2 linked regions of the Stegostoma tigrinum genome follow. The protein of the gene in region 1 purifies or fractionates together with the protein of each later gene. This does not show direct contact. Links are inferred from orthologs where the notes say so. Each region holds a gene or a part of one and is shown in the gene's direction. Other genes may lie near its edges.

What was found.
Region 2: the proteins of camlg (region 1) and tumor necrosis factor receptor superfamily member 13B purify together in Homo sapiens (affinity purification with western blotting; 3 studies listed by BioGRID and IntAct, with this or other methods). This does not show direct contact. The link is inferred for Stegostoma tigrinum from reciprocal best matches to the Homo sapiens genes CAMLG and TNFRSF13B.

Annotation. Positions count from the first base shown.
Region 1 is NC_081366.1:30,781,706-30,797,403, forward strand, and holds the start of camlg (calcium signal-modulating cyclophilin ligand), read left to right. Parts: upstream 1-8,902; 5' UTR 8,903-8,936; coding exon 8,937-9,108; intron 9,109-14,885; coding exon 14,886-15,358; intron 15,359-15,698. UniProt on the Homo sapiens protein: Required for the post-translational delivery of tail-anchored (TA) proteins to the endoplasmic reticulum.
Region 2 is NC_081376.1:20,341,031-20,356,820, reverse strand, and holds the start of tumor necrosis factor receptor superfamily member 13B, read left to right. Parts: upstream 1-8,253; 5' UTR 8,254-8,357; coding exon 8,358-8,446; intron 8,447-9,992; coding exon 9,993-10,126; intron 10,127-13,164; coding exon 13,165-13,281; intron 13,282-15,790. UniProt on the Homo sapiens protein: Receptor for TNFSF13/APRIL and TNFSF13B/TALL1/BAFF/BLYS that binds both ligands with similar high affinity. Mediates calcineurin-dependent activation of NF-AT, as well as activation of NF-kappa-B and AP-1.

The DNA of each region.
Region 1 (15,698 bases):
GATAGAAGTGGGCAGTGTGAGGTTGGGGAATGATGAGGCTGGAAGCTGTGGATGGGAGGTCACCTGAGTTTATGAGGTTGTGGATGGCTTGGGAGATGATGGTTTGGTGCTTGGGTGTGGGGTCATGATCCAGGGGGCGGTAGGAGGAGGTGTCGGAGAGTTGGCATCTGGCCTCAGCAACGTAGAGGTCAGTGTGCCATACGACAACTGCACCTCCCTTGTCCATGTGTTTTATGGTGAGGTTGGGATTGGAGCAGAGGGAGCGGAGGGCTGCATGTTCTGCGGGGGAGAGGTTGGAGTGGGTGAGATGGGTGACGAGGTTGAGGCGATTGATGTCTCGACGGCAATTGGAGATGAAGAGGTCAAGGGAGGGTAGGAGGCCTGGGGGTGGTCTCCAGGAGGCGGACATGTATTTGAGGCAGGTGAAGGTGTCAGTGGAGGGAGTGTTAGGCTCATGGTTAGAGAAGTAAGCGTGGAGGCAAAGGCGGTGGAAAAACTGCTCGATGTCCAGACTTGACTGGTATTCATTGATGTGTGGGTGGAGGGGGACAAAGGTGAGCCCCTTGCTGAGGACTGACTGTTCATCCTCCGTCGGGGGAGGTCTGCGGGGATTGTGAAGACTCGGCAGGGCTCAGTGTGGCTGTATTCTCTGGGGCTGCTGGCTGTGGAGGCTGTGAGCAAAGCAATCATGATCCGGGGGTGGTAGGAGGAGGTGTCGGAGAGTCAGATTGCTGAGGCCAGACACCAACTCTCTGACACCTCCTCCTACTGCCCGCTGGATCATGGAACGTGCAGCTCTTCCCTCCCTCTGCTCCAAACCCAACCTCACCATAAAACCTGCAGACAAGGGAGGCGCGGTTGTAATATGGCACACTGACCTCTACATTGCTGAGGCCAGATGCCAACTCTCCGACACCTCCTCCTACCGCCCCCTGATCGCGCTCAAGCCGCACCTCCATTTCCTACCTACTAATCTCATCCCGCCCCCTTGACTTGTCCGCCCTCCATGGACTGACCTATCCCCTCCCTACCTCCCTACATACACTCACCTCTACAGGCTCCATCCCCACCCCTTTAACTTGTCTGTCTCCTCTCCACCTACCTTCTCCTCTAGCTATCTTCGATCCTCCTCCCCCTCTCTCCCTATTTATTTCAGAACCGTCTCCCCATCCCCCTTTTCTGATGAAGGGTCTAGGTCTGAAACGTCAGCTTTTGTGCTCCTAAGATGCTGCTTGGCCTGCTGTGTTCATCCAGCTTCACACTTTGTTATCTTGGATTCTCCAGCATCAGTTCCCATTATCTCTGAAGTAACTTTCCAGTTGCTTCTACCTCCACCTATCATCAATTGCTGTTGCTTGTGTGTGTGTGTTTTTAGGGAAGTCTTTATAGAGGGATTAAAGTTTAGCAGTGTCATATGTCAATAGTTTATATCTATATACTTGCAATTATCATCTATTTGTTTATAATAAATAATAATTTTCATTAAGTACAAACCTAGATGGTCTTTCCTATCAACCTTGGTTTGAAAGTCAGTTAAATTCGGGTACTGTGTTTACCTTAGAAAAAAATCTTTAACATTTGGTACAGCTCCAGAAATAGCAGAGCTCAATTTATGGTGAGTTGCATCGGTGGAGCCGTAACATATTTACAAGATTGAATTACTATCCCCCATTTTCTATTTACTGTTCAACACTAGGAGGTGAAATTGACCTCTAGTGATTGGTCAAACAAGTCAAAAATGAATCTTTAGATGTATAAAGGGAAAAAGAGAGGCAAAAGTAGACATAGGAAAATGACACTGGGAAAAGCAATATTGGGGAACAAAGAAATAGTTGAGGAACCGAATGAGTACTTTGCATCAGTCTTCACAGTGGAAGACGCCAGTAATACCACAAAAATTCAACAGAGTTGGGGGAAGATGTGCGTATGGAGGCCATCAACAAGGAAAAGATGTTGGAAAAACTGAAAGATCTGAAGGTGGATAAATTCACTGGACCAGATGGACTATACCCCAAAGTTCTGAGGGAGATAGCTGAAGAGATAGTGCACACGTTAGTGGTGATCTTTCAGGAATCACTGAAGTTAGCATGGGTCCCACAGCACTAGAAAATTGCTAATATAAACCCCCCATTTAAGAAGGAAGTGAGGCAAAAGACGGGAAGTTATTGGTCAATTAGCCTTACCTCGGTCATTGGTAAGATTTTGGAGTCTATCGAGAAGGATGCGATTTCTGCATACTTGGAAGTACATGATAGAATGGGCAAAGTCAGCATGATTTCATCAAGAAGAGGTCATGCCTAACAACTTTGTTAGAATTCTTTGAGGAGGTAATGAAGAGGTTAGACCAGGGAGAACCAATAGATGTTATCTACCTGGACTCCCAGATGCCTTTAACAAGGCGCCATACAGGAGGCTGCTGAGTAAGATAAGGGGCCATGCTGTTCGAGGTAAGTACTAGCGTGGATAATAGATTGGCTGTCTGGCAGAAAGCAGAGAGTGGAGATAAAATGGTCCTTCTCAGGGTGGCAGGCCAGCTGGTGTTTAGCTGTGATCCACAATCTTGTGGGACCACAACCTTTCACTTTATATCTAGATGAAGGAACTGAGGGAATTCTGGCTAAGTTTGCAGATGGTGCAAAGATAAGTGAAGGGGCAGGTAGTATGGAGGAGGTGAGGAGGCTACAGAAATATTTAGACAGGTTAGGAGTGTGGGCAAAGACGTGGCAAGTAGAATGCCACGTGGGAAAGTGTAAGATCATGCACTTTGGTAGGACATAAGCTAGTTTCTGAAATTCAGAAATTCTGAAGTGCAAAGAAGTCCAAGCCCAAATTCTCTTAAGGTAAACTTGTAGGTTGAATCCATAGTTAGGAAGGCAAATACAATGAATAAGGAGTGAGGGTCCAAAAGCTTGCATTTTTAAACAAACCTGTTGGACAATAATCTGGTGTTATGTGATTTCTGACATTGTCCACCCAGTCCAACACTGGCATCTCCATATCATGGCATTTACTTCAGGAAGTCCAGAACATAAAGGCAGAGATGTGATTCTGAGGCTTTATAAAGCTCTGTTCAGACCACATTTAGAGTACTGTGGGCAATTTTGGGCCCCAGACATCAGGAAGGATGTAGTAGCCCTGGAGTGGTCCCAGAGGAGGTTCACAGAAATGATCTCAGGAATGAAAAGCTTAACATATGAGGAACGTTTGATGACTATGGGTCTACACTTGATGGAGTTTAGAAGGATGAAATTTACAGGATTCTGAACAGCCTGGAGAGGGTGGAAGTCAGGAAGATGGTTCCATTGGCAGGAGACAATAGGACCTGAGGGCACAGCCTTAGAGTAAAGGGAAGATCCTTTAGAATGGAGATAAGGAGAAACATCTTCAGCCAGAGAGTGGTGAATCTATGAAATTCATTGCCACAAAAGGCTGTGGAGGCCAGGTCATTGAGTCTATTTAAGACAGAGATAGATTAGTTCTTGATTATCAAGGGGAGCAAGGATGATGGGGAGAAAGCGGGAGAATGGGCTTGAGAAACTTATCAGCAATGATTGAATGCCGGAGCAGATTTGATGGGCTGAATGGCCTAACTTCTGCTCCTATGACTTATGGTCTTATGGTCTTATGAATCAACAGCATTTTTTAGGCTACATTTGATCTTTCATTGAAGCCAAAGTAACGGCTAACTGAATGGAGTGTAAAGCTGGCTGCAGAGCCAATAGCTCCCACAATTCACAGTGAAATCCAAATGGGTATCCATTTCTACTCGATCTCAATCAGAACAAATTTATCTCTTCATTAAAACCAGCTCTTTCATCCTTTCATCTGACTTCTGATCCTTTAAAATAATTAGTAAATTATTTGTCAGTGAAGCCCAAGCCCTATGAAATTATGTATTAGTAAATTACGTACCCACTTTAAAATTTGAATAATTGGCGTAACTACATTAAAGCTTTATGTTTTAGAAGAATAATATTAATCCTATTCTATGACAAAATCACAAATGTCAAATTAACTTTAATGTTTCATTGGCTGTGACAACAATTTCTTTTTCAGTGTTTGTTTTCCGGACACAACCCAAAAGATTTACATTGTGCATGTAGAACATAATGAAATATCCACTTAAACCACTGTGCATCTACTGACCTTCCCCTTAATCCATTTTCCCAGCTCACATCAGACAACTCTTTCCTCATTTCTCAGTGACTGTCCTTATTTAAATTAAAGACACTGGTTTGAGGCCTGAGTCTCCCTTGTACAGAATTTGTAATTCTATAATATTGTGATTACTATCTCCAAAGGATCCTTATCCATGAGACTGCCTATTAATCCTACTACAGTACACATTTTTAGATCCAAACATAACCTTTTCTCTGGTAGGTAGCTCAATGCACTGCTCTAAGAAACACTTTTGCATGTTATCCTTCCCCAACTGATTTGTTCAGCAAATATGCAGATTAGAATCACTCATGACACTTGTATTGTTCTTCTTGCTGACCACTTTTATTTCTTGATTTATATATTGTCCTACAGTAAAACAACTCTTTGGCGACCGAAAGACTCCTATTTGTGAATTCTTTCCCTTGCTGTTCGTTATTTCCACCCATATTGATTCCACATCACTGCCTATTGCACTAATATCACTGCTCACCACAGGATTGATACCTTCCTTTAATAATAATGCTTAACTCAGCTCCTCTAGCCTATTTTTATAGAACATCAAATACCTTGAAATATTGTGTTAACAGTATTCGTCACCCTGGAACAACATCTTTATGATAGCTACTATGTTATATTTGTTTAATTCTACTTGGGCATCAGCTCATCAATCTTCATCGTGTTATTTTTGTTTAGAAACCTACGTTCTAAAGTAGAGGAGTGATGTACAGCTGTAAAATTGACTTCTGTTTCTATATTGTGTGTGTTGAGAAGGAAGAATACATAGTTAATGATTGATTTGAGATTTGTTCTGAGAATCATGCCAGAGTATCTGAAAGTTATTTACATGCAGTTCAATGAGGTAGCTAAATCCTTGATGTAAACAGTTCAATGAGGTAGCTAAATCCTTGATGTAAACAGTTCAATGCAGTAGACAAGAGAGTAGGAGGGGAAAACAATACTTTTATCACCAAGCAACAGGGCTCCACTGGTACAGAAAGTCAGAACCATTCAGAAGAGGAACTGGTGAACCTGTTCAGTCAAAGAGAAGAGGCTCTTAACACAGCAGAAGTGCTGTTAATAATAGCCTCCAGGGGTCAGAGCTGGGGAAAATGTCTTTAGAAGAAAACTTCAGAAGCAGAAAGATGTGACAAAGGTGAGTTTAAGGATCCCTTATGTTAAATAATTAGGGAGTTTCATTAGCGATTCTCTTAAGGGTCTTAGAGAGAAATATTAGCTAAAAAAAGGTATAGAGTGAATTCAATAATTTGCCCAAAAGGAACTGATTACACTGTGCCAACTGAACAAGAAGTTTTAAAGTGGAAAAAGGATGACCCTTCACTGAGATTTGAATGTCTGCAAAGTTGTTTTGAGGGTAAGAATAGAATCTTTATTTCTGATATTTGTAGTAAGGTGGTTGGAAATGATTCTTCAATAGTATAATATAATTCCTACTTTTTTATTTTGTAATAAACATTTATGTTTTGTTTGTTGAATGTACATTGGTAGCCTATTGAGACTTTGTTCAGTGATTAATGACCCAATAACTGAATAGAAAAAAATAAAACTTTTGCTGTACCTGGTTGCATTTCTCTCTGGAACTTATTTATTCCATCATGACCTTCCAATAGGTCAGTACAGCTAATTTAAAGACATTTATTTTGCAACTATAGAGATAGTAGGAACTGCCGATGCTGGAGAATCTGAGATAACACGGTGTGAAGCTGGATGAACACAGCAGGCCAAGCAGCATCAGCAGAGCAGGACAGTTTGACATTTCGGGTCAGGACCTGAAGAGGCGTTCCCACCCAAAACATCAAATGTACCTGCTCCTCTGATGCTGCTAGGCCTGCTGTGTTCATCCAGCTTCACACCGTGTTATTTTACAGCTATGTTTAAACATTTTCTTCTAACTTTTTGATTTATTAATCTGTTCTTCTTTTATCAGAAATTTTGGACTCTCTTGAACTTTTTCTTCTATCTTTGATATATTTTTATAGCATTTTCCTAACTATTTCATGACTTGTACATTCTCAGTATATTGAGTTGGTTGTGCATCTGCTTTTATGCATATCAAGATTCATCTAATCAGCTCTGCTTTTAAAGCTTCTTTATAAATAAGCATGATGCCTTTGGTAAGTCAAAAGAATGAGCTGCAATTCCACAAGCATTACACTATGAAATATTAATTTCAATTACAGGAATGCCTTTAAGTATTGGTGATTGGCCTCTCTAAATTGGCTCTGAGTTAACCATTCAGCGCAGAGTGTTAGAGTTCACAAATGTTGCTTAGAATGGACATGATCTGGTATACTGCACACCTCAGTATTGGTTCCCTTGAGTTCTCAATATCTATGTGAAGAGAACTTGTCTGTATTAAGCAAAATGACATTCAATATTGACATAATTGAAGGGAAAGGAACAAAAATGAATATCTGTTTTACAGCAGCAAAATGATTCTGATAAAATTACACAAGGAAGTGGCTGGGCAAAAGATGGAGTATTCAGTGTAGTATGGGATGCCTATTGTAGAGTGGACTGTAAAGTAAGAGAGACGAGACAGTAGATTCATGAGGATATATCGGGAATAAGAAGATATAATTTTGCAATAGATTCGAGAGAATAAGACTATTTTGTCTCAAAGAGTAGCCTTATCTCTACTTTCCTTTCTATTCGTTGTAATCATTGATTCTCTTGTTAGCCAAGACTTTCTAACAGCATTTTAAAATTATTCAAGGACTCTGACTTCACTGCTCTGTGGGGAACAGAATTACACAAACTCACAATTGTCTAAGAGAAATAAGTTATTCTCATCTCCCTTTTAGATGGAACACCACTTATTTTAAACTGTGTCCTCCTAGTTATAGTCTCTTCCCCAAGTGGAAACATCCTTTCAGTATCCACTCAGCCAAGTCTCCGTGGGATCTTACGTGGTCCAATAAGCTTTTTAAAACTTCTCTCTGCCAAAGTGTACAAATTCACATTTTCACACATTGTACTTCATCTGGCAATGTTTTGCAAACTCACTTAATCTATCCATATCCTTTGTAGAATTCTCATGTCTTTCTCACAGCTTATGCATATATTTATCTTTCTGTCATTAGCATATTGAACAGCCATAAATTTAGTCTTTGGAGTGAGACTTGAAGCAATCATTTTTTGACTCAGGGGTGCAGTCAATTGAGCCAAGGAAGTCATTGAGGACTTTGAGTCAATTTGCAACAAAGAGTATTACACAGATTCAGCACATTAAAAAGTATGAATGATTAGGACTCACACAGTTTTCTAAAGAAACCTTTTTTTAATTTGGAGGGGGCAAGGGAATCAAATGAGGAGTTGTTCAAAATGTGAATATATTAATAGATTGAGGAAAGCAGTGGTGAGTGAAGGCTGTTTTGGACACTGTTCAAGCTTAAAGTCGAGAACTTTACACCATCCTTGTGGAGGATAGTAATGTGAGGGAATTGGATAATCCTGCTGAAAAGGTAATGGTCAGGACAGAGAAAGAACAATCCTTTAAATTGACAAATGGTGTTAGAAGAATTACAGAGGTGGTTTGGAAAACACTAGGTAGAGAGGAGAAAGGGAAAAAAGAGTTCCACAAGGCAAGAACACGTTGAAACTGTGGGTGTCCTATGCAGCAGTTTCTATTTGATGTTCTTAGGAAGGAAGTTGTGTGGTATTGAGAGAATCAGTAATGTTGGGAAATCATGAAGGCTAGGTCTCCAGAGAAGATGAGGTCCATGATTGTTCTTGAAACAATTACTTAATGTTCAAAGCGAAGGTTATGCCACAGGGAGAGGGAGGAGGAGGTATCAGAGAATTGTCCCTCAGCCTATATAAGGCAGATGTTCCATTGTTAAATAACAAGTATTACCATGGTCAGCAGGTTCAATACATCGTTTGTTACTTGTCTGATTACTATCCCCTTGGCCCTTACAACATAATGCCATTTGTCATTAATGTTGCTTTTCCAGCAACATGGGCACATATTTGTTTTGGATAATAATGCTAGAATGGGTGGCCTGCCTGCATTAAGCAGCGTCTGATATTTAAATGCATTGACTGCAATGGAACTGAACAGGAACAAAAACAAAGTTGCTGGAAAGGCTCAGCAGGTCTGGCAGCATCTGTGAAGGGAAAAATCAGAGTTAACATTTCAGGTCCGGTGAGCTCTGAGGAAAGGTCACCAGACCTTAACTCTGATTTACAGCATCCACAGTTCTATCGGTTTTTATTTGGAACGGAACAGGAGCCGTGGATAACGGGTGGTCAATTTGATATTGTGATCAGAGATAATGGGAACTGCAGATGCTGGAGAATCCGAGATAACAAAGTGTGAAGCTGGATGAACACAGCAGGCCAAGCAGCATCTTAGGAGCACAAAAGCTGATGTTTCGGGCTCTGATGAAGGGTCTAGGCCCGAAACGTCAGCTTTTGTGCTCCTGAGATGCTGCTTGGCCTGCTGTGTTCATCCAGCTCCACACTTTGTCAATTTGATATTGCCCATTCCTGGCCCCAGCATCCACAATACATTTCCAAGCCCTTCTGTATTATACGAGATTTCAGCCAGCGTTTTGCCTTACTTAAGTGCATTATGCATTTGCTAAAATAATTTGGAAAAAGTTGAGGTCGGTGATTTGTTGTGTGAACATGTGTGATTGCGATTCCCACAGCCAGCAGCAAATGACAGCATGTGCTGGTGCTGAGCCCCTGGTGACACATCATCAGAGTGCGTCCGCCGGCTCCACCCGCGCCTATCGCTGTCAGCGGGAGGGATGGAGGGCGGCGCCGATCCGGAGGAGCAGCAGCAGCAGCAGCAGCAACAGCAGAAGAAGAAAATGAGCTCGGAGCGGAGGAGAGCCGAGCTCCGCCGGAGAAAGCTGCTGCTGAACTCGGAGGAGCGGCTGAACCGTATCATGGGTTTCAGTAGGAGCGGGCCGGGCCCGGGTGAGTGGGAGTAGGGATTGCGGCCTGGTCCTACCCTCCCCGTGCTTCAGCCCCTTAGCAACCGACCCACCCCGGGCAGGGTTAGAGAGGGCGGCTGTAAACACAGGGGGCACCATCACTCCTCACCCCAGCCTCGTTTTATTTCCACCAGCTCCATGAATCAAAATCAATAGCCGGGCCGGCTGTTCTCCGCCAAAGCAACAAAGCCCACTCTTATTGAAAGCAAATGCAGCACATTTCCAGGGCGCGGTGGGAGCGAGCCTGATGAGGAGTGTGGTTCTGAAAATGTGATAAATTCTTGTACTAACGACTCAAGCTTGAGAGGAGGGGTGCGGCGGTGATGGTTAGTTTAAAAATCACCTTTTTAGCCTTCGTTTTGATTGTTCTCCTGATGCCTGGTTGATTGGCTTAACTATATCTTAAGACAGTGTTTAAAACATTGGCTTTGAGGGTTTGGAAAGTATTGGTATGTCTACATTCAAGATAAAGATGCCTTATTTGTGAGTGGAGTTTAAGGGAAGAAAGAGAGGGTGGGGCAGTATTAATTTTCTGTCTTCACTGAGTGCAGGATAAATAGTCTGAAGGAGGCAGAATTTTCAAATGGCAAAATCAAACTGTGTCTGGATGGTGTTTGTCTATCTGACAGTATTAATTCAGGAGGGGCTTGAACTGTACTACTTACAATAAGTGATATTTACAGCTGTCAATGTTGGAAGAGTACATATTCTGTTTTCACAATAGATAATTATAAACCCATGAGAAGCTGATATTTTTACATCTGAGGAAGGGTCACTGGACCCAAAATGTTGATTCTGATTTTCTCCTTTACAAATGCTGCCAGACCTGCCGAGCTTTTCCAGCAACTTTGATTTTGGTCCTGATTTGCAGCACTCTGCAGTTCTTTTGGTTTTTATTTGACATTTTTACAGATATCATACAGTGCACACTAATGAATTGCAGTAATTTTGTGTTGTGACAATACTTGTGGCTGAAAATTTTTTTTTGGATAAAATAAACATTTCTGATCTGACTTATTTTGGAAGAGTGGGTTGATGTGCAATAATGGAAATTTTTCAGAGCAAAGGACTAGAACCCATTGTTTTGGCCTATCTAATTTAGATAGGATTTTCAGCAATCTGGAATAATGGCTAATTTATCAGATATGTATACATGAACATTTCATAAAAATGTTATTCTATTCATTTCTACCAGTAACAAATTGTTACGGTAACAAACAGACATTGTTCTGTTTCTGGGCATTTCAAATGGAAATTTCAAATCACAAGCTTTTGGAGTGCTGCTCTTTCTCTAGATCTATTAATTTCCTCTCCAGTGGTCTCAAACTCTGTAAACAGCCATGCCAGACCCTGGATCACACGCTTCCTGTGCATCTGGATTCTACAGTGACCTACTGTTGATTAGTCACTGTCCCAAAAATAGCAAGCATCTTTTTTTTGTACAATCCCTTACTCATTGTGACCAATGCAATGAGGCATCAGCTATTCAGTAAGTTGTCTTTGTACCTATTACATGCATCTATTAACAATCATTATCTGTATTTCAAATGCCCAGAAATAATAGAACATAGAACATAATAGCACAGTACAGGCCCTTCGGCCCTCGATGTTCCATGTATTCCATATACGTCCATATGCTTGTCTAATGACGACTTAAATGTACCTAAAGTTGGCCAATCTACTACCATTGCAGGCAAAGTGTTCCATTCCCTTACTACTCTCAGTAAAGAAACTACCTCTGACATCTGTCCTATATCTTTCACCCCTCAATTTAAAGCTATGCCCCCTCGTGCTCGCCATCACCATCCTAGGAAAAAGGCTGTCCCTATCTAACCCTCTGATTATTTTATATGTTTCAATTAAGTTACCTCTCAACCACCTTCTCTCTAATGAAAACAGCCTCAAGTCCCTCAGCCTTTTCTCGTAAATCCTTCCCTCCATACCAGGCAACATCCTAGTAAATCTCCTCTGCACCCTTTCCAAAGCTTCCACATCCTTCTTATAATGCGGTGACCAGAACTGTACACAATACTCCAAGTGCAGCCACACCAAAGTTTTGTACAGCTTCACCATAACCTCTTGGTTCCGGAACTCGATCCCTCTATTAATAAAAGCTAAAACACTGTATGCCTCCTTAACAGCCCTGTCAACCTGGGTGGCAACTTTCAAGGATCTGTGTACATGGACACCGAGATCTCTCTGCTCATCTACACTGCTAAGAATCTTAACATTAGCCCTGTACTTTGCCTTCCGGTTACTCCTACCAAAGTGTATCACCTCACACTTGTCTGCATTAAACTCCATTTGCCACCTCAGCCCAGCTCTGCAGCTTATCTATGTCTCTCTGCAACCTACAGCATCCTTTGTCACTATCCACAACTCCACCGACCTTAGTGTCGCCTGCAAATTTACTTCTATTCCCTCATCCAGGTCATTTATAAAAATGACAAACAGCAGTGGACCCATCATCGACCCTTGCGGTACACCACTAGTAACTGGTCTCCAGGATGAACATTTCCCATCAACTACCACCCTCTGTCGTCTTTCAGCAAGCCAATTTCCGATTCAAACTGCTATATCTCCCACAATTCCATTCCTCCGCATTTTGTACAATAGCCTATTGTGGGGAACCTTATCGAACGCCTTGCTGAAATCCATATACACCACATCAACCGGTTTACTCTCATCTACCTGTTTGGTCACCTTCTCAAAGAACTAAATAAGGTTTGTGAGGCACGACCTTCCCTTCACAAAACTGTGCTGACTATCCCTAATCAATTTATTCTTTTCTAGATGATTATAAATCCTTTCCCTTATAACCTTTTCCAACACTTTACCACCAACTGAGGTAAGGCTCACTGGTCTATAATTACCAGGGTTGTCTCTACTCCGCTTCTTGAACAGGGGAATCACATTTGCTATCCTCCAGTCATCTAGCACTATTCCTGTAGACAATGACGAGTTAAAGAGCAATGCCAAAGGTTCGGCAATCTCCTCCCTGGCTTCCCAGAGGATCCTAGGATAAATCCCATCCGGCCCAGGGGACTTATCTATCTTCACCTTCTGAAGGATTTCTAATACCTCTTCCTTGTGAACCTCAATCCCACCTAGTCTAGTAGCCTGTAACAATAGTTTGTTACTTTAAGCTATGTAAAATATGCTTTGCCTGGTAATAAAAGGCAAAAGATAATTTATTGAAATTTCATTGAGAAAAGGAAATGCTAGGAACACAGCTGGTCAGTCAGCATTTACAAGTTATAGAAATCTATCTGATTTAAATATTGTGTATACTCAAAAAATACATACTTGAAATGTTACAACCTGTTTTTCCTTTGCTAACTGACTTGCATAGTTCCACGTTTTTACACATTTCCTGTTACACTTTGGTAGTCCACTCAACACCAAGTGGTGTTGCGCTTCTGTGGAATCACTTAGCCTGGTACCATGTGGGTTTGGTGCTAGTCAGGAGCAACTGTCTTAAAATTCATTTTGGTCAACCTATTTGAATATTCCTTTATCATCTTTTCTTTAACCACTTGTATAACATTTTTATAAACAAATCTGGCATGATATCTGTTATAATCACGAACGTGGATGTTCATTTCACATTATTCTTTAATTCTTGACCACCTCAGCTTGTGAAGCAGCATTGAAAATTGTCGTAGCCAAGTTCTCCCATTGGAAACATGGTGGTTCAAATGTTTTGTTTAAGCCAACTTATTTACAGGTTTCCAATACAGGTTTAACTATCTGAGAGGAATGTTTTGCATATTTTTCTCTTAGTGAAGCATAACTTCAGAATATTTATTCTTGCATCCCAATTATGACTGATTCCACTACAGTTCCAGAGAAACCATTATAATGCAATCTGAAGATGGTGGTTGATACATTCTTGTGAACTGATTTAGACCTAGCTTGGTATCAGAGATAATGGGAACTGCAGATGATGGAGAATCCAAGATAATAAAGTGTGAAGCTGGATGAACACAGCAGGCCAAGCAGCATCTCAGGAGCACAAAAGCTGACGTTTCAGGCCTAGACCCTTCATCAGAGAGGGGGATGGGGTGAGGGTTCTGGAATAAATAGGGAGAGAAGGGGAGCGGACCGAAGATGGAGAGAAAAGAAGATAAGTGGAGAGGAGAGTATAGGTGGGGAGGTAGGGAGGGGATAGGTCAGTCCAGGGAAGATGGACAGGTCAAGGAGGTGGGATGAGGTTAGTAGGTAGGAGATGGAGGTGTGGCTTGAGGTGGGAGAAAGGGATGGGTGAGAGGAAGAATAGATTAGGGAGGCAGAGACAGGCTGGACTGGTTTTGCGATGCAGTGGGGGGAGGGGATGAGCTGGGCTGGTTTTGGGATGCGGTGGGGGAAGGGGAGCTTTTGAAGCTGGTGCAGTCCAAATTGATACCATTGGGCTGCAGGGTTCCCAAGTGGAATATGAGTTGCTGTTCCTGCAACCTTCGGGTGTCATCATTGTGGCACTGCAGGAGGCCCATGATGGACATGTCATCTAAAGAATGGGAGGGGGAGTTGAAATGGTTTGCGACTGGGAGGTGCAGTTGTTTATTGCGTGGGAACCCTTCAGCCCAATGATATCAATGTGGACTTCACCAGCTTCAAAATCTCCCCTTCCCCCACTGCATCCCAAAACCAGCCCAGCTCATCCCCTCCCCCACTGCATCCCAAAACCAGCCCAGCCTGTCTCTGCCTCCCTAACCTATTCTTCCTCTCACCCATCCCTTTCTCCCACCTCAAGCCACACCTCCACCTGCTACCTACTAACCTCATCCCACCTCCTTGACTTGTCCGTCTTCCCTGGACTGACCTATCCCCTCCCTACTTCCCCACCTATACTCTCCTCTCTACCTATCTTCTTTTCTCTCCATCTTTGGTCCGCCTCCCCTTCTCTCCCTATTTATTCCAGAACCCTCACCCCATCCCCCTCTCTGATGAAGGGTCTAGGCCCGAAACGTCAGCTTTTGTGCTCCTGAGATGCTGCTTGGCCTACTGTGTTCATCCAGCTCCACACTTTACTATCTTAGATCTAGCTTGGTGTTAATGATTTGTACCTTTCAAAACATACAGACAAAGTTAGAGTGACGATGGTAGTACAAAACAGTTGAGAATGCATCAGGAATACTTGAACCACTTGCACTTCTGCTTTATTGTTTTAATTGTGGGATACAGGAGAGCAGACGTAGTGTTAGTCAGTCCCTGATAGATGTGGCAACTATTGTATGTTGTTTTGACTTGAACCCTCACCAGATGAAACAAGTATATGATCAATTATGGATGAATGCCAACACTGTTTTTGCTTAATACCTTCACATCAGAAATAGCCTTCAGAAATAGTGTGCAAGTTAACTTTTTCTAAGAGTGAGCAGTTAATTAAGTTAGTATATTCCTCACTTAACTGGGGATATGTTAGAATCCGTCCTAGGCTGATATGAAAATCTCTTTAGTAACCCACCAAGTCCCTAAATAAAACAAATGCAGTGTGGAGTGTTTTTCTTAGGTTAGCATTAAGGCACATGATATAAGAAATTACACACTTTTTACTTGCACAGTGTCTAATCAGGCATGAAATAGGGCATTGGTGAAGAAGAAAATTACCTGAACTTCCAATAATGGTGAACATCACTGTAAAGAATTCAGGAATGTCCTGCTGACTTGAAAAAGGCTCAGATGAATATTTCTGTAAATTTCGAATGCTGTTAATAGGAAAGACAAATATAATCGTTCTCATTTTTCCTTCTATTTCAGAAGAGGAGAACCGAACAGATTCTCTTCCACCGTTTGAACTGGAGAAGACAGAGTCGCTGCAAAATTCTAGCCTTCCAAAAAGAACCCCAGGAATCTCAAATGAAACTGCTGATGGCTCAGTGGCATCCATTCATTACACTAACGGAAAAGAGCTTCAACAACCATATTCTGTAGACACAAGAGACTCGCTTAGCAAAATTAATGAGGCTGACAATAGTTTAGGGCCAGGAAATCGGCACTTAGGCAAATCTGATGTACCGATAGAGCAGGCCCAGCGTGCTCCACGTCGTGGTATTGAGCAGTATATATCAAGATTTGATGAAGCAATGAAACTTAGAAATCAGCTGATGAATGAGAAGTCCAATCATGAAAATGGAGGCGGAGCTGAAGAGTTTGGTACATTCCGTGTTTTCCGATTAGTAGGGAGTGCGCTGCTAGCCTTAATGGTTCGAGTCTTTATTTGCAAATACTTGGTGAGTATCACAGCTTGTTTCTGGTATAAAATATTTGTGCATTGAGGACAGAAGTTTTTCATGTACGTTAGTATATTTTTGGTAGACGTTTATAGCTCTCCTGCATTGTTGCTTAGTAACTGAAAGGGATTCTGCTCATCTTCACTGGAAAAAATATACCCAATTTTGTACGAAATAGCGAAGTAAATATTTTTTAGTTGGTTCCTGGACAATAAATGGTATTTTTCTTTTTCTTGTTTTTATATGTTGTGACTAGGTGACCTCTCACCACCTATACTTAGTGATGCAGCCTGTCATCACAGTTGAATCCTTTAACCCCACAATCACTTTTGTGTGAATG
Region 2 (15,790 bases), on another chromosome or scaffold:
TTCTATTCATGTACTTAACCAAATGTCTTTTTAACATTATAATTGTTCCCACAGCCACCACTTCCTCATGAAAGGTTTACTCCATAAGCAAACGGCAGTCGATGCCATTTATATCTTTTCTAAAATTTCTCCCTCACCCTAAAAATGTAGCCCCTAGTCTTGAAATCTTTTATTCTAGGGAAAAGGCAACTCCCATTAACCCTTATCTGTATCCCTTGTGATGTTATAAACTTCTACAAGATGACGTCTCAACCTCCTACAGATATGTCCACTGTTAAAGAGGAAATATTGGAACCTGTGCTCTCAGCAACCCACACTCACTCGGTCTCTGCTGTTGGGTCTGCAGCATCTATCCTCACTTGCTGTTATTCAGCCCTTCTGGTGGGTCCACTAACCCTGCATACCCTCACATTGTGTCGTCACATATTTAGGACACCTCACCACCTGCAATCAAATCAGTTGTGCCACACACTTCCATGTTTCTTAATATTAAAAGCACAAAAAGCCAAGGCAAGGTATGGTAGAAATGCTGAGAGTCTCAAGGTAAGCTCAGAGTGAGTGAGTGCTATGACAGTGAGTGAAGAGCCCAGAGATACAGCCTGGTCCAGTTGGTGTACATCTCTGAGCGCACACATTGTATTGCTGCAGCAAGGACACTAACGGTTGCCATTTCAGCCTGAGGTGCAGACGTAGCCTGTAAGTGAATCAGAGATGCATCATGAGGGCTGTCAGGTGAAGACACATATTGGATGCCAATGTCTATGGATTGGGGGTGTGCTTGGCGATTGCTCATGGAGGTTACCTGGAGACATTGAGCACCAATGAGCTGAATTCATGCACCTGCTGTTGTTTCCATACCCAGTTTTCTCGCTGTCTAGCTTGATGGGTCAGATGGGAAAGATTAGGAAAATAGAAAGCTGAATATTAATGACGAGTGTTTGTCTGTCAACAAGGTTTTTAATAAGGTATAATCCCTCTCCACTGGCAACTTGCCACACCACTTGTGAAAAAAAATACAATTTACCTAATTGTACCACAAACAACACCATAGCCTACAGCGTTCAGACTCCAATAAGGTTCCACTCTAAGAATTTAACTATTTTAATATCTTGCAAGACATATTTCGTTGCTGAATTAAGATTTCAGCACATTAATCTCAGCACAAAAATCTATTCATTGTACCAATGCTTCATTTGTCTGCAGCTGAAAAACGAGAAGAAGCTTTAAAGGTTGCTGTTTTGTTTGTTTCAAGCTAATTTTGCTAGCAGGAAATGCAGCTAAAACTAATACAACGTGAATCATCTCATTTCCTCTCTGAGTGGAGAGGTTGCGATTCATGATTCTATTTATGCATTGAGGCTTCCCCTTTTAGTTGCACAGCTTCCAAATGGGTTTCACACACAACCTTTTCTGTACGAAAAAGTGAACAAGAAAGCAAATCCCCCGCCCCTTCTTTGTCACGTATTCTGTTTGACTAATTTGGCCTTCAATGCTGTGGTTGACTCACATTATGAAAGCTATCCAATCAACTCCCCTGCAACAAACTAATTCAAAAGGGCTCACAGACTAAGAAATGCATTTATAATTTTTTCAAACATTGCTGAAACACAGTCAAACTGAACAGTGCTTTAAAATAAATTAGCATTTTTTGAGTCATAGGTTCTGATAACACTTACCCATTGATACAAAGGGGAGGAGTTTGATCCCAAAGAACAGGTGGGAAATTAAAATTGTTGCAAGTTAAAGCACAACTACAAACCATTTTGAATATACCCATCTCAACATCAACTCCACACTTCACTAAGTTTTGCAGCATCAGGTCAAGCATAGAGAAGTGATATCTCCTGGTGATTACCAGTTACCACACCGTTAAGCAGATGAATCAGTACTTCTCGATGTTGGATAGCACTTGGGGGAAGCACTGATTGCGGCCAGGGCAAAGAATTTACCCTCGGAATTGGGTGACTTCATTGGCCACCAAGAGTGGCTCACTAGTACCAGTACTGATTGAGTTGGTGATGTACTGAAGGCCATATTGACTAGCCTGGACTGGCAACACAGCAAGGGATCTAACAAGGGAAACACCTAGATCACCAATCTGTCACACAGTCTGTTCATGAGAGCTTTGAAAGTAGTGAACAATGCACAGTCCTTGTGCAGACCAAGTCCAGTCTTCATATTAAACAGATTAACATTAATATAGATAGAGCTAAGTAATTCCAAAATCAACAGATAGATTTAAACTCGAATGCCCTACCATATCTCACTGGTGAATGGTCATGAACAATTAAATAACTCAAGGAGGAAGCTCCACAAATCTACACATCTTCAATGAAGGGGGCTATTCAGCAATTCAATGCAAGGTGATAAGACTGAAGATTTTGCAACCGTCCTCAGCTAGAAGGACTAAGTGGATGATCCATCTTGGCCTCCTCCTGAGATGCCCGTCATCACAGAAGCCAGCCTTCAGGTAATTTAATTCACTCCTTTCCAAGTAATATTAAGTAGCAGCTGAAGGCACTGGAGACCGCAAAGTCTACGGGCTCTGAGGGCATTCTGGCAAAAGTACTTAAGACTTTCTATCCAGCACTCATAGCAAACCTAAACTAGTGTAAATACTTCACTGGCACCTATATGGCAATATAGAAAATTGCCCGAGTTGTCCAGTCCATTAATAAAAAGGGATAGTCCAATTGAATTCAACCAGGCAGAGCAATCTTAGGACCTCCAAAGCCCAGAGAACATTGCTGAGATACTCATGGGCAATCAGAACAGGAATCTGTGCAGCTTGCCTCTACCTCTGCCAAAGCACTATGTAGGAGTAGCAGAACAGCCACAAGAACGTCAGTATGTGAACTAAATAAGGAACAAAAACAAAGTATTACGCGAGTCAGATTCCATGCTGTACGACCCATCGGTCCAACCAGTCCATGCTGACCATGTTCCCAAACTAAAACAGTCCCACCTGCCGACATTTGGCCCACATCCTCCCAAACTTTACCTAATCATGAACTTATCCAAATGTCTTTCAAATATCATAAATGCATCTGCACCCACCACTTTCACTGGCAGTTCATTCCACACACAAATCACTGTGCAAAAAAAAAAGTTACCCATCATGTCCTTTGCAAATTTTTTTTTCCTCTTACCATGAAAATATTCCCTATAGCTTTGAACTCCTCACCCTAGGGGAAAAACCCTTGTCATTCACTTTTTCCATTCCCCTCAACTTTATAAACATCAATAAAGTCACCTAATCTCCTACACTCAAGTGAAAAAAGTCCCACTCTTTCTAGTCTTTTTTTAGATCTTAAATCCTCCATTCTTGGCAACATCCTGATAGTTTTTCCAAACTCTCTCCAATTCAATAATCATATCCTTCCTATAATAGGGCAACTAGACTATATACAGAAGAGGCCTCACCAACATCCTGTGTAATGTCAACAAGGCATCCCAACTCTTACACTCCAAGGTTTAAGCAATGAAGGCAAGCATGCTAACACCTTCTTGACCACCCTGTCTACTTGTGCTACAACTTAAAAAGAATTATGCACTTGAACCCCATGGTCTATCTGTTCTACAACACCACCCAGGCTTCTACTATTAATTATACAAGTCCTGTCCTTGTTTGTATTATCAAAATACAGTACCTTGCATTTATCCAAATTAAATTCCATCTGCCACTCAGTGCATTGATCAATTGATCAAGATCTCTAACCTTGGATAACCTTCACTATCCACTATAAGGCCAATTTTTGGTGTCATCCAAAAAGTTAACCATGCCTCCTATAGTCTTGTCCAAATCATTTATATAAATGACAAAAACTAGCAGACCCAGTACTGTGGGACATTGCTAGTCATAGGCCTCCAGCCTGAGAAACAGCCCTCCATCTCCTTCTTTTATTCTTCTTTCCTTGTTCATTCTTGAAGAATTTTTAATAAATAGCCTGCCAAGTTGTGTGCTGGTAATAGTGGAGGAGGTGTGAAGTTACATGAAATCAATGCAGAGGGAGAAGTCTAAGAGATCAGCGCAACACAATTTGTGATCAGCAGCAGTGAGCAAATGGGATCTGAGGGATGAGAAGAGCCATTGCATTTTCCAGTGACATGGATGTAAGGGTACAGCTGAAGTCAACTGTGCGATAAGAAGAAGGGCATTTCCATCATCGTAGGCAAAAACGTGAGCCGATGGAGATACCATCCTAATCACCTTTTTGACTCTCCCCTATCACTTTTCTGGAATGGCTCAAGAGCAATCTTAGCCCTTTGCTTGTTCCTCAAGTAGTGGTGGGGTTACTGGTGTACATCCTGGGCCACGTTTGAAGTATCAATGTCAAGTTATCCTTGATATTGATCAAAGGGAAGCAGGCTTATATTTCTTTTTGTGTATTCAATAGCTTCGGTTTGAACTCCAGAAAATCAATGACAAATGGGTTAAAAAAAATACACAGCTTATTGATTCTTTAAAGTAAAAGTAAAATTCTGTTCACACATCAAACTGTTTCTGGCATTTTCAGTTTACATCTGCACTTGTCAGAAATAGTACTGCAAGAGAGTTTGAAATCTTTACAAAATGGTTAAATGACTAATGATTATGCACAAATTCATGATAAAATATCTGCATTTCAATTCAGTCTCGAAATTTGCTGTAAGCTGACCAGGGAAAGCCCCTGGAAGTTCTTCCTTCTGTTAAAACGAGAAGTTTCACATTCTGATTGACACAGGCAAATGTACTGAGAAACAGCAGAAGATAGCCACCTGGAACGAAGAGAATGTGAGTACCATATCCAAATGTATAAAGTTCTTAAGCATGTTGTTAGTATGTCAAATGTTAAGAAAATAGTATTCAACCATTTTTGAAAGGATCCGTTTGAACTATTAGATTCCCTCTCCACAAAATTTCCTTATTTAAAACAAATTTGCATCATCGCACTGGGATTTTGGTTCAGCTTTATTTAAATACAGCTGTCTCACTGAATCAGCCCTTCCCCACAGCACTAAGGATTTCAGTCCTTCGCCAAAAGTTTCACCGATTGCATTTAAAAGATCATATATACAATGGAATAGCTGACCAGTGCAATTGTTATATCTGCGTTTGTGGAAAGCTCACATCTGAAACATTAACTCCATCTCTCTCAGAGAATGCTGCATGGACCCGAACATTTCTAGCTTGCTTTATTCCTGACCTAGAGGATACATTTGAATAACTTAAATTATTTGGATCTTGCTTATACTGGTGAAAGTTGAAGAAGGAAATAGGTACACTGCAGAGTGCAGAAAATAAAACTCAGGTCGACAAATAAAATATTGATCTGTTAGTTAAATGCCGCAGCTGACATAACCACCAAGAGAAAATGGAAGCAAAAAAAAAAAATCACAAAAGTAATCCAGGTCAGATAGCACTTTGAAAGACTCCACAGCATATTTTATTCCTAACATGAATACAGTCCAAAACTAGTTGGCTTCAGGAGTCAAATTAACAAAGCATGTGTGTGTTAGGGTAGCTATCTAGGAAGTCCCTACAATAAAGGCAGAAAGAGGGAAGGATAAAACAAAACCCAAAGCATTTCAGTTGTGTCCAAGTTCAAACCAGATATATAGCAATTACCTAACCATAAATTTAAACCGTGAACAACAAAAAGGGGAGTTACTATTGCTGCAAGTGTGCAATCTGGCACAGACAGACTATACACCTTTATTACAACACAACTATTGGATTAATGCCAACTGCAGTGTGTTCAGGAATGGAATCTGAGTAAAGCGGATAAAAATCAAAAGGACTGCGGATGCTGCAAGAACAAAAACACAAGTTGCTGGAAAAGCTCAGCAGGTCTGGTAGCATCTGTGAAGAAGAAAAAAAAAAGAGTTAACATTTCGGATCCGGTGACCATTCCTCAGAACAGTTAAGTGGATCCCAGGCTTCATAAGCACATTTTGGAATTAAAAATGAATTTTTCATGCAATGATCATTTTTTCTTCCATAATTAATTGGCTCATTAACAAAGGTGCAGGAAACATGACTGAGGCCATCTTTAATTGTTATTTAATCAGTCACACTTGCATTCTTTCTTCTTGAAAAGAAAAACCTTCAGATGAGTCATTTTTCTTTCATCTCTTCAGCTTACTAACAACCATTTAACGCAGCAACTCTCTATTCCATTTATCTTTTATGTTTATGTTTTCAAGTTGGAAGAGGTGGTGACAGGCTGTATTTATTACTTAACACCAGATTTTGAGTGGTTGTGGGATTTTTTTTTACTTGAACTACAGACAGGTGATCCCATAAAATATTAGATAATCGTATTCTCATCAAAACTTTTGATTCCTACTCTGTTAATTATAACAATATGTAACATTTTCCTTTTGCTAATTTTAACTCTGAAAAATAGAAGCAGATAATACCGGGGCAGAATTTCTTCTACAAAATAATATTTTTGTTGTTCCTATTAGCAAAACAAATGCAACTACTTGAATTACTTACTTCATTACTTTACAATAGATGTTCAATCTGACATTCACTCAAAACAAGTAGAAATTCTCTTAATCATTGATACCTGCACAATCCCTAATTTAACGAGGGGCCCCAAATGACACTCAATAGATAGAGTGCATTAAAATCTGAAACCTATAATCAGAGAAACTTCGATTAAAAATGATCAGTAGGATTCTCAAAGTCACTTTGGTTCTTTGAATTCAAACAATTTTTTTTTGATACATGTATTGTTGTAATGTGTGTTTCCAATTCTTGGAATCTACTTTGTTTTATCTTGAATATACTTAACTCTTATACCCAATCATGCCAATGCAGAACTTGAAGAATTTGCGTAGTTTGTCAGATCATTAAACAAGAACTTATCCTTTTTCTAAACTTTATTTAAATTTCTGAAAGACGACGTTCATATAATATTGATTGAAATGATATCACAAGGCATTACATTATTTGTGAAAACTCAAAGCAAGGCCAAATCAAACCACATTTAAAAGATTCAGGAAGTATGATTAAGGTATGCAAAGCTGCAATGACTACATTGTTTGAAGCCTGGGTTTCAAAAGCAGGCAGCATGTTGAAGGAAGTGCAAGATTATGGGAAATAACAGGCTCCACATATTATAGCTTGTGGAGAAAAAAAAAGGAATCCAAGTAATATTGTCCCTTTATCTCCTCAGTAGGAGATGTTATCTTTTGAGCTTCAAAAAAGAAGTGGTGTTCAGCGAAGTATGTGAATCTTATTACTGCTCAAGATGCCTATTTCTATATTTTGTATTATCAAGTCTTGTCCAAGCCCGAATTCCAGGATTCGCACTTAATGGGCTAATGAAAATCAAAGAAACTGAGTAAATAACTACCAGGTTCGGTACAGAAAATAAAACTAAGGATGAAGGATATGTTCACAGAGATGCTTTGAATAAGTTGAGTTGCTCTTTAGCAGTAGTAAATCGTGAATGCATAGGGACATTTAGAAGATGCATGCGCTTTGTCCTTCTTACCAAGTTTTCCCACTGTAATACCAGACATCTCAAAATTACTATACAGGCTATTTTATTTTTCCGTGAATTTGTGTGGCTATCATATTTCACAATGAGATTAGCACGAGTGCAGCAACAAAACAGACACTCATCAGCAACAGCACATGTTGGACCAAAACAACAACCAGCTAATTTTCCCTTGTAGCTGGGTACCGTAATATTTTCTTGCTCATTAAAAAGGACAACTTGTGTTGGCCTACACAGGGATTCCAGGGTTGTACTATGGTCAAATGACCATGCAGATTAGGAAAAAACAGTGGATGCACGATAATCGGACCTTTTACATAAGATCAGGTACAGAATTAGATGCATGGAAAAGTTCCTTCCAAACCACAAATGGCAAACAACCCCAGGGCAAGTCCAACAAAGATTAGATGCTGTGTAAAGCTTTCTCTGCACAGTTTGCTCAGTGTGTGTGAACGGCAACATTCTGGAGGAGTTAATGAACAATCAACTATTTTTCAAATAGTATTGTTATCACCAGCCAGACACATTCCAAAATGTTTCAGCCCAACCACCTTCCTGCTATTGGTCATCCAACAGAGCTGTCCCCGTGTAGTTCTGCTTTCCAGCTCCAGGAAAGCAAACAGACTCTTACATAATTCAACAGTTCTTGACTTACAGAAAAACAGCCTCTTATTTTTAAAATGAATTGTAAAGTTATTCAAAGAAAAAAAAGTTTTTACATTCACATGACGACCTTTTCTCCTTGCAGCACTGTCCAGAAAATTAAGCTTCAATCTCTGAAATACCTAGGTCAAACCTGGAAAGGTTAGCAACACCATTTTAGACTCCTTTTTAAGAGCTACAGGTGCACAATAGGCAGCTCCAATGAGCAGAAGATGGGGTAACTGGCAAGAAATATGGCACAGCCATATTTGCATCATTTCAATCTGCTGCCTTTATCCACTCCTATCCAGGTAGGTACATCTCACCAAGTCCAGGCACTGAAAGCGTTGGGGGGCTGGGTGGGTGTTCAACGACAGGACTTGACATTAATTCATGGAAGAGCTTGAGATACAATTTACCCTGATCTAACAAAAAAGGGCAAGAGTGGAATGAAATTCTAAAACAATTTAGTGGAAAATGCATGTCTTGGTGAGGTTAGTTTTAGATACAGGAATAAAATTCATAAGATTTATAGCTGTTGATCAGCTGAATGCAGTTCAGGAATTAATATAAAGATCAGCAAGATTGAAAAATAAAACATGATTATGCAATGGTGCTATTTACATGAAGGCAATAGCAAGTTAAAATCAAATCTACATTTAAATCCAATGCAAATATAAAATGACAAAAATAAATTGTTTGAAAGCAACATTATTGGCTGTTGCAGATTTTATGTAACAATCTCTCAATATATCAACACACATGGTCAACCTATCAAGCAGGTACAACTCACTCAGCTTTACTCCCACGTAGGATTTCACTTGAAATGAAGATCTAGAGTTCTGTAAGAGATCCCAGCCAAAAGCAACAAATCCTGTTAATTTCTTGCAAGGCACTTTCAATAAAGGTGGAACCTGCAAAATTTATCCACAAAGTTAAGCATCAGGCCAAAGTTGAAACCATTTCACATTAATGTGAAAGCGTCATCTTAAATGCTCCTAGCAGGGTCAAAGTATGGTCTATTTTAACCTAATTCAAAAATATACCGTGTCAATTGCTTTTTGCATTTGGAATCCACTATGACTAAATATTCCACTTGCATAAGTTTTGGTTTTACTTCAGAATTAAACAATAATTGAAAACACAAAAAAGGTGTCTTTGCACATATATTGTCTCCTTATCTGGAATCATCTACTGTAATCGCATTTCCCCATCCTTATCTCACATTCTTTAAATGGATTCAATATTTAATAAATTCCTTCTTAAAATAAGCAACTGTCAGATTCCAAAATGTGATACTTCACACTTCTTGTGCGTCACATCTCTTCCCACTCTGCAAGCCATCTGTGACTTATTGCAATCTTCAGACTTCTTTCATTGCTTGTAATGCCTCCAAATATTGATACATTTCAACATAATACCTCATGCCTATTTTCAAAGCGTTTACATGAAATCAAAAAAGATGTCCAATGCACCTATGCTACACATGATATTAACTTGATGCTGTCAATCAAGTAATTTAGAATTATTCATCTTGTTTTGACCCCACAACCATTTTCCATTAACACACACACTTTAAGATAATGTGCCATCATTTTGTAACCAAGTCTCCCAAGGCTCAGAAACCTTTCATAATCTATTGTATTCTCTTTATCTGTCTACTACAGATCAATGAGTTGAACTCCATCACGGATCAGACTAAATGGCCTACCATCTCGTTCACTGTTGAATATAATTGCAAAGCTTATTTTGCAGGAAATTTGTTGCGCAGCTATTTGGAATGTTGAGGATATGAAAGTCTCTATGAAACTTATTTTAAATCAATCTGTAACAAAATAATCTTAATTGATTTTAAAGATCCCACCGTCCTCTTGTTGGAGAGGGGATGGGCAGCTGTTCAGATGAGGAGTTCTGGGATCGTCTCTTACGACGATGCGCCAAGTGTACAAATTGTGGGCATAACTGGAAAAGTGCGTGCAAGACATATTGTGGTATGTGTCCGTTCACTACATGTTTTTGAAGCCTTTTTGTTTGAAGTTAAGCCGAAAAATATTCCTTTCTTCAGTACCAAAGAAAGAAAGGAAGCCAACGTCAGCAGGCTGAGGATCAAATCTTTGGCTGTTTCTGACTCGATATGTATCCTCTCGACAATAGGTGCTGGAGTAGGCCATTCGGCCCTTCGAGCCAGCATGATCATCCACAATCAGTATCCTGTTCTTGCCTTATCCCCATAACCCTTGATTCCACTATCTTTAAGAGCTCTATCCATCTCTTTCTTGAAAGTATCCAGAGTGTAGGCCTCCACTGCCTTCAGGGGCAGAGCATTCCATATATCCACCACTCTCTGGGGGAAGAAGTTTCTCCTCAACTCTGTTCTAAATGGCCTACCCCTTGTTTTCAAAACTGTGTCCTCTGGTTCTGGACTCCCCCATCAGTGGAAACATACTTCCTGCCTCCAGAGTGTCCAATCCCTTAATAATCTTATACGCCTCAATCAGATCCCCTTTCATCCACCTAAACTCAAGCGTATACAAGACCAGTCGCTCCAATCTTTCAACATATGATAGTCCCACCATTCTGGGAATTGACGTCGTGAACCTACGCTGCACTCCCTCAATAGCCAAAATGTCCTTCCTCAAATTTGGAGACCAAAACTGCACACAATACTCCAGGTGCTGTCTCATCAGGGCCCTGTACAGCTGCAGAAGGGCCTCTTTGCTCCTATACTCAATTCCTCTTGTTATGAAGGCCAGCATGCTATTAGCTTTCTTCACTGCCTGCTGTACCTGCATGCTTGCTTTCATTGACTCATGTACAAGAACACCTAGATCTCGTTGAACTTCCCCTTTGCCTAACTTGACTCCATTTCAATAGTAATCTGCCTTCCTGTTCTTGCCACCAAAGTGGATAACCACACATTTATCCACATTAAACTGCATCTGCCATGCATCTGTCCACTCACCTAGCCTGTCCAAGTCACCCTGTATTCTCATAACATCCTCACATTTCACCCTGCCACCCAGCTTTGTGTCATCAGCAAATTTGCTAATATTAGTTTTAATGCCTTCATCTATATCATTAATGTATATTGTAAATAGCTGCGATCCCAGCCCTGAACCTTGTGGTACCCCACTGGTCACCGCCTGCCGTTCCAAAAGGGACCTGTTTATCACTACTCTTTGCTTCCTGTCAGCCAGCTAATTTTCAATCCAAGCCAGTATTTTTCCCCCAATACCATGTGCCCTAATTTTGCTCACCAATCTCCTGTGTGGGACTTTAATCAAAGGCTTTCTAAAAGTCCAGGTATACTACATCCACTGGCTCTCCCTTGTCCATCTTCACAGTTACATCCTCAAAAAATTCCAGAAGATTAGTCAAGCACAATTTCCCCTTCGTAAATCCATGCTGGCTCTGACCTATCCTGTTACTGCTATCCAAATGATTCGTAATTTCACCTTTTATAATTGACTCCAGCATCTTACCCACCACTGACGTCAGGCTAACCGATCTATAATTCTAACCTGGTAGAATTCCATCAGCAGGACTCACTTACAAGCTAGACAATAGAAAAGACAGGGAAACTAAAGGTAGTTGATGCATCTACAGGCTGTGCCAATCTAATCCAAAACCCGGTCAAATTGTATCAGTGATAATGGGAACTGCAGATGCTGGAGAATCTAAGATAATAAAATGTGGAGGCTGGATGAACACAGCAGGCCCAGCAGCATCTCAGGAGCACAAAAGCTGACATTTCGGGCCTAGACCCATCCAGAGAGGGGGATGGGGTGAGGGTTCTGGAATAAATAGGGAGAGGGGGGGAGGCGGACCGAAGATGGAGAGAAAAGAAGATAGGTGGAGAGGAGAGTATAGGTGGGGAGATAGGGAGGGGATAGATCAGTCCAGGGAAGACGGACAGGTAAAGGAGGTGGGATGAGGTTAGTAGGTAGGAGATGGTGGTGCGGCTTGGAGTGGGAGGAAGGGATGGGTGAGAGGAAGAACAGGTTAGGGAGGCAGACACAGGTTGGACTGGTTTTGGGCTGCAGTGGGTGGAGGGGAAAAGCTAGGCTGGTTGTGTGGTGCAGTGGGGGGAGGGGACGAACTGGGCTGGTTTTGGGATGCGGTGGGGGGAAGGGGAGATTTTGAAGCTGGTGAATTGTGCGAAGTTCTGACAGAAAAAAAGTAGAGAGGAGGAAATAAAAAAACTTTAGGCCAAGTTAAGTGAAACCATTTTGCTGGAGGGGGGTTGGGACCCAAAACATCAGCTTTCCTGCTCCTCTGATGGTGCCTGCCTGCTGTGTTCCTCCAGCTCCACACTGTTCTAGTAAGAATTACCAATGCTGGCGTCAGAGATCTTTAAGCAAAACTCATGTTCTTTACCAATCCTGCTGAAAACATGCTTTAGGAGACAGAAGCAACTAATTAGTTACTCCCATGTACCTGTAACATGGTAACATGATAATAAAGCTAATTCTATTCTATTTTATTCTTTCAATTATACAGAACTTGCTCAGCTCTCGTTAAACAGTAGTGAATCCATAACTATCAGACACAGCAATCTATTCCAGAGTTCATGATGCCTTGAGATTAAATACCACCCACCCTTAGATTCTTTTTTTGTATTTTGACAAGAGCACAACCTAATTTTTTTCTAATTTAACTCAATCTATCAATCTAAACAGGATTTATTCCCTTCATTTTAAAAATTATATCACCCGAATATCAACGTTTACCCAGTGAAGAATACCCCAGCTCCTAAATGCTAACCCGATAGCTATAAACAGTTGTATAGAATGTTTTACCTTTATCTACCCGAGATCAGTAATCTCATCCATTGTTAAACCTGATTTTCATTGCATTGAAATGAATGGGACAGAGATTCACACCTATGAATAACAACCCAGGCGAAGATGAAAATTTACTACTTAATCCTCTCCTCAATTCTCTTATTATTTGTGTTTTATAGCAGTAAGTGATCTATGGAAAATATAAGTTGACTTGCTTGCCTTTTGTAACTAACTTTTTAAATCAGAAAGTTGGAGCTGCAATGAGGCTGCAGGATTTTATTGGGACAAACTGCTGCGCAAATGCATCAAGTGCTCAGATGTGTGTGGGCAACATCCTCAACAGTGCTCAGAAGTTTGCTACGGTAAGAAATTAGTAAACAAAAAGTTATTTTTGTAAGCACAAGTACATAAATCAGGATCTTGATTATTTTGGCTATTAAAAACAGTACTTTTCTGCACAGGACTTTGCTGCATATATATCCATCCTGATTACTGTATTCACGCACTGGACAATCACAAAGACATTTCCAGCAGTTTATAATATCAATAGCAGCCAATTAACTCAGTTGGCTGAATGGCTGTTTTCAAAGCAAGGTGAAACACTGCAGATTTGATCTTCTCACTGGCTGATGTCCCACTTTCTCAATCTCACCCCTCAACTGAATCATGGTGACCCTCAGGTGAAGCTCATCACCAGTTGGTGTTCTCATAATCCTCTGGCACTACAGCGACTGTGCAGTCAATTGCACTCAAGTGACAGGGTTGTGTTGTTATGGTTTATTTTCATTACCAATTTTCTGTCCCTGTATATCTGAGCACTTGCAGCACTGAATGTGGATAAGCTGCTTGGTGATCGTTCACTGCCTTTAGACTACATTTCAGGTAAACCTGGTACTACAGAGGAATAATAGACTTAAGACTGCAGGATAGATGTAGCCCAAGTAGATGAAATGCTAGTTTTAGCAGTCTGGATTCCACTAATTTTTCAGGAGCCATGCATAAGAAATTGAGAGGATGCTTTCAATTAGATTGAGATTTAGAATCAGAACCAAATAGTGTCAGTGCCAATTTGAAAAATGAGTTGTGACAAAATATTTTAACCCATGATTTTATGATGCTGGGGAATTTGAGCACAAACGCAGAGCACAGCACTACACATTCAAATTCATAGCATCAGCTACACACATTTTGAATTATTCCCCAACCTTTTCCCACCAAAGGTTGGCTGATTTCTCAGCCAAGTAGCAAACCTCATGCCAAGTAATCTTGATATCAAGGATGGATCTTTGCAGGCAAGCCAGTTGGTGAACTTCAGGGGAAAAATAAAAAAAAAAGAGTACAGCATTGGGAAGCTGTTCAACTGCTTTCCATTTCTCTGAGACCTCCGGAGGAGCTGACATCATTGACAGTTGTGGGAACGGCTTGGTGGTCAGTAATAAGGATAAGTTTCAGGAGAAAATGGAAGTATCTAAGAGTTGGCATTCTGCTTCTGCAAGATAGAGGGCAGCACACCAGAAAACACAGACAATTCTTCACGAAGGACACAATCTGGTTACATATCCATTCCCAAGCTTGCAATGGGGAAGTGGGAAGCCTCTCTGCTTCTTTTTGGGAGGCGGCCTGGATAATCTCCATCTACTACTACCCTTCTTTGCCAGGCTGAGCTGACTCACACTGCGAACATTTCCCATTTAGCTCATCTCACTCTCTCAGGATCAAAAGATGACCAAGGGTCCCAGTAACTTGGTCTGGTCATAGGGCATAGAGAGTATATACCTTGTTCAGGTTGTACCCAGGGCACTCACCCCCACAACTGTGTCTCCAATACAGTGATAATATTAAAGTTAAAAAATTTTCTTCCAACTTTCATCCTGTTGATGTCATCTGTTCCATCTCATATTTGTTCCCTTACTTTCTGTTGGAAGTTTGGGGGAAGAGGCTAGCTACCAGTACCAATTACAAACCCACAATTGCTATAATTACTTTGACCACACTACCACACACCCCCTTCTTATAGAAGAGCTCCTGTCCATTCTCCTTGTTATTTCATCGCATCTGTTCATGATGCTACCATTCACATAGGTACCTTTGAAAGAACATAGAATATTACAGCACAGTACAGGCCCTTCGGCCCTCGATGTTGTGCCGACCTGTCATAGTGATCTCAAGCCCGTCTAACCTACACTATTCCATGTACATCCACATGCTTATCCAATGATGACTTAAATGTACCTAAAGTTGGCGAATCTACTACTGTCGGAGGCAAAGCGCTCCATTCCCTTACTACTCTGAGTAAAGAAACTACCTCTGACATCTGTCCTATATCTTTCACCCCTCAATTTAAAGCTATGCCCCCTCATGCTCGCCGTGACCATCCTAGGAAAAAGGCTCTCCCTATCCATCCTATCTAACCCTCTGATTATTTTATATATCCTCAGCCAATGGTTCCCCCAACTGTTGTTGACAGAGCCCTCAGTTCTTCTGGACCCAGTCGCAGCACTTGCCCCTCACAGCTTCCTCTCCACTAGGTTTCCCCTAGTCTTTTACTTTAAAATGATGAGATTGGTCAAGAAGAAAGTACCACCACATCCAGCAGGAATGCCACCAAATATCACCCCCACCCTTGTCAACATTGTGCAGGGACTGGCCCCTCAGCAACGAGTCCACTCCTAACATGCCTCTCTTCCAGCTCACTCCATGTAAATCACAGAAGGTGAAAAACTTGTCCTTTCATCTCCTTCCTTCTGTGTCCAAGTTCTAAGCAAAGTTACCAGGAGAAAGCAATGGTTTTCTTGTATTTGCTATTTAATCTATTGCATTTGCCACTCTCGATGCAGCCAATTTTTGGTTTGGTTTGGTTTTACCGGATGA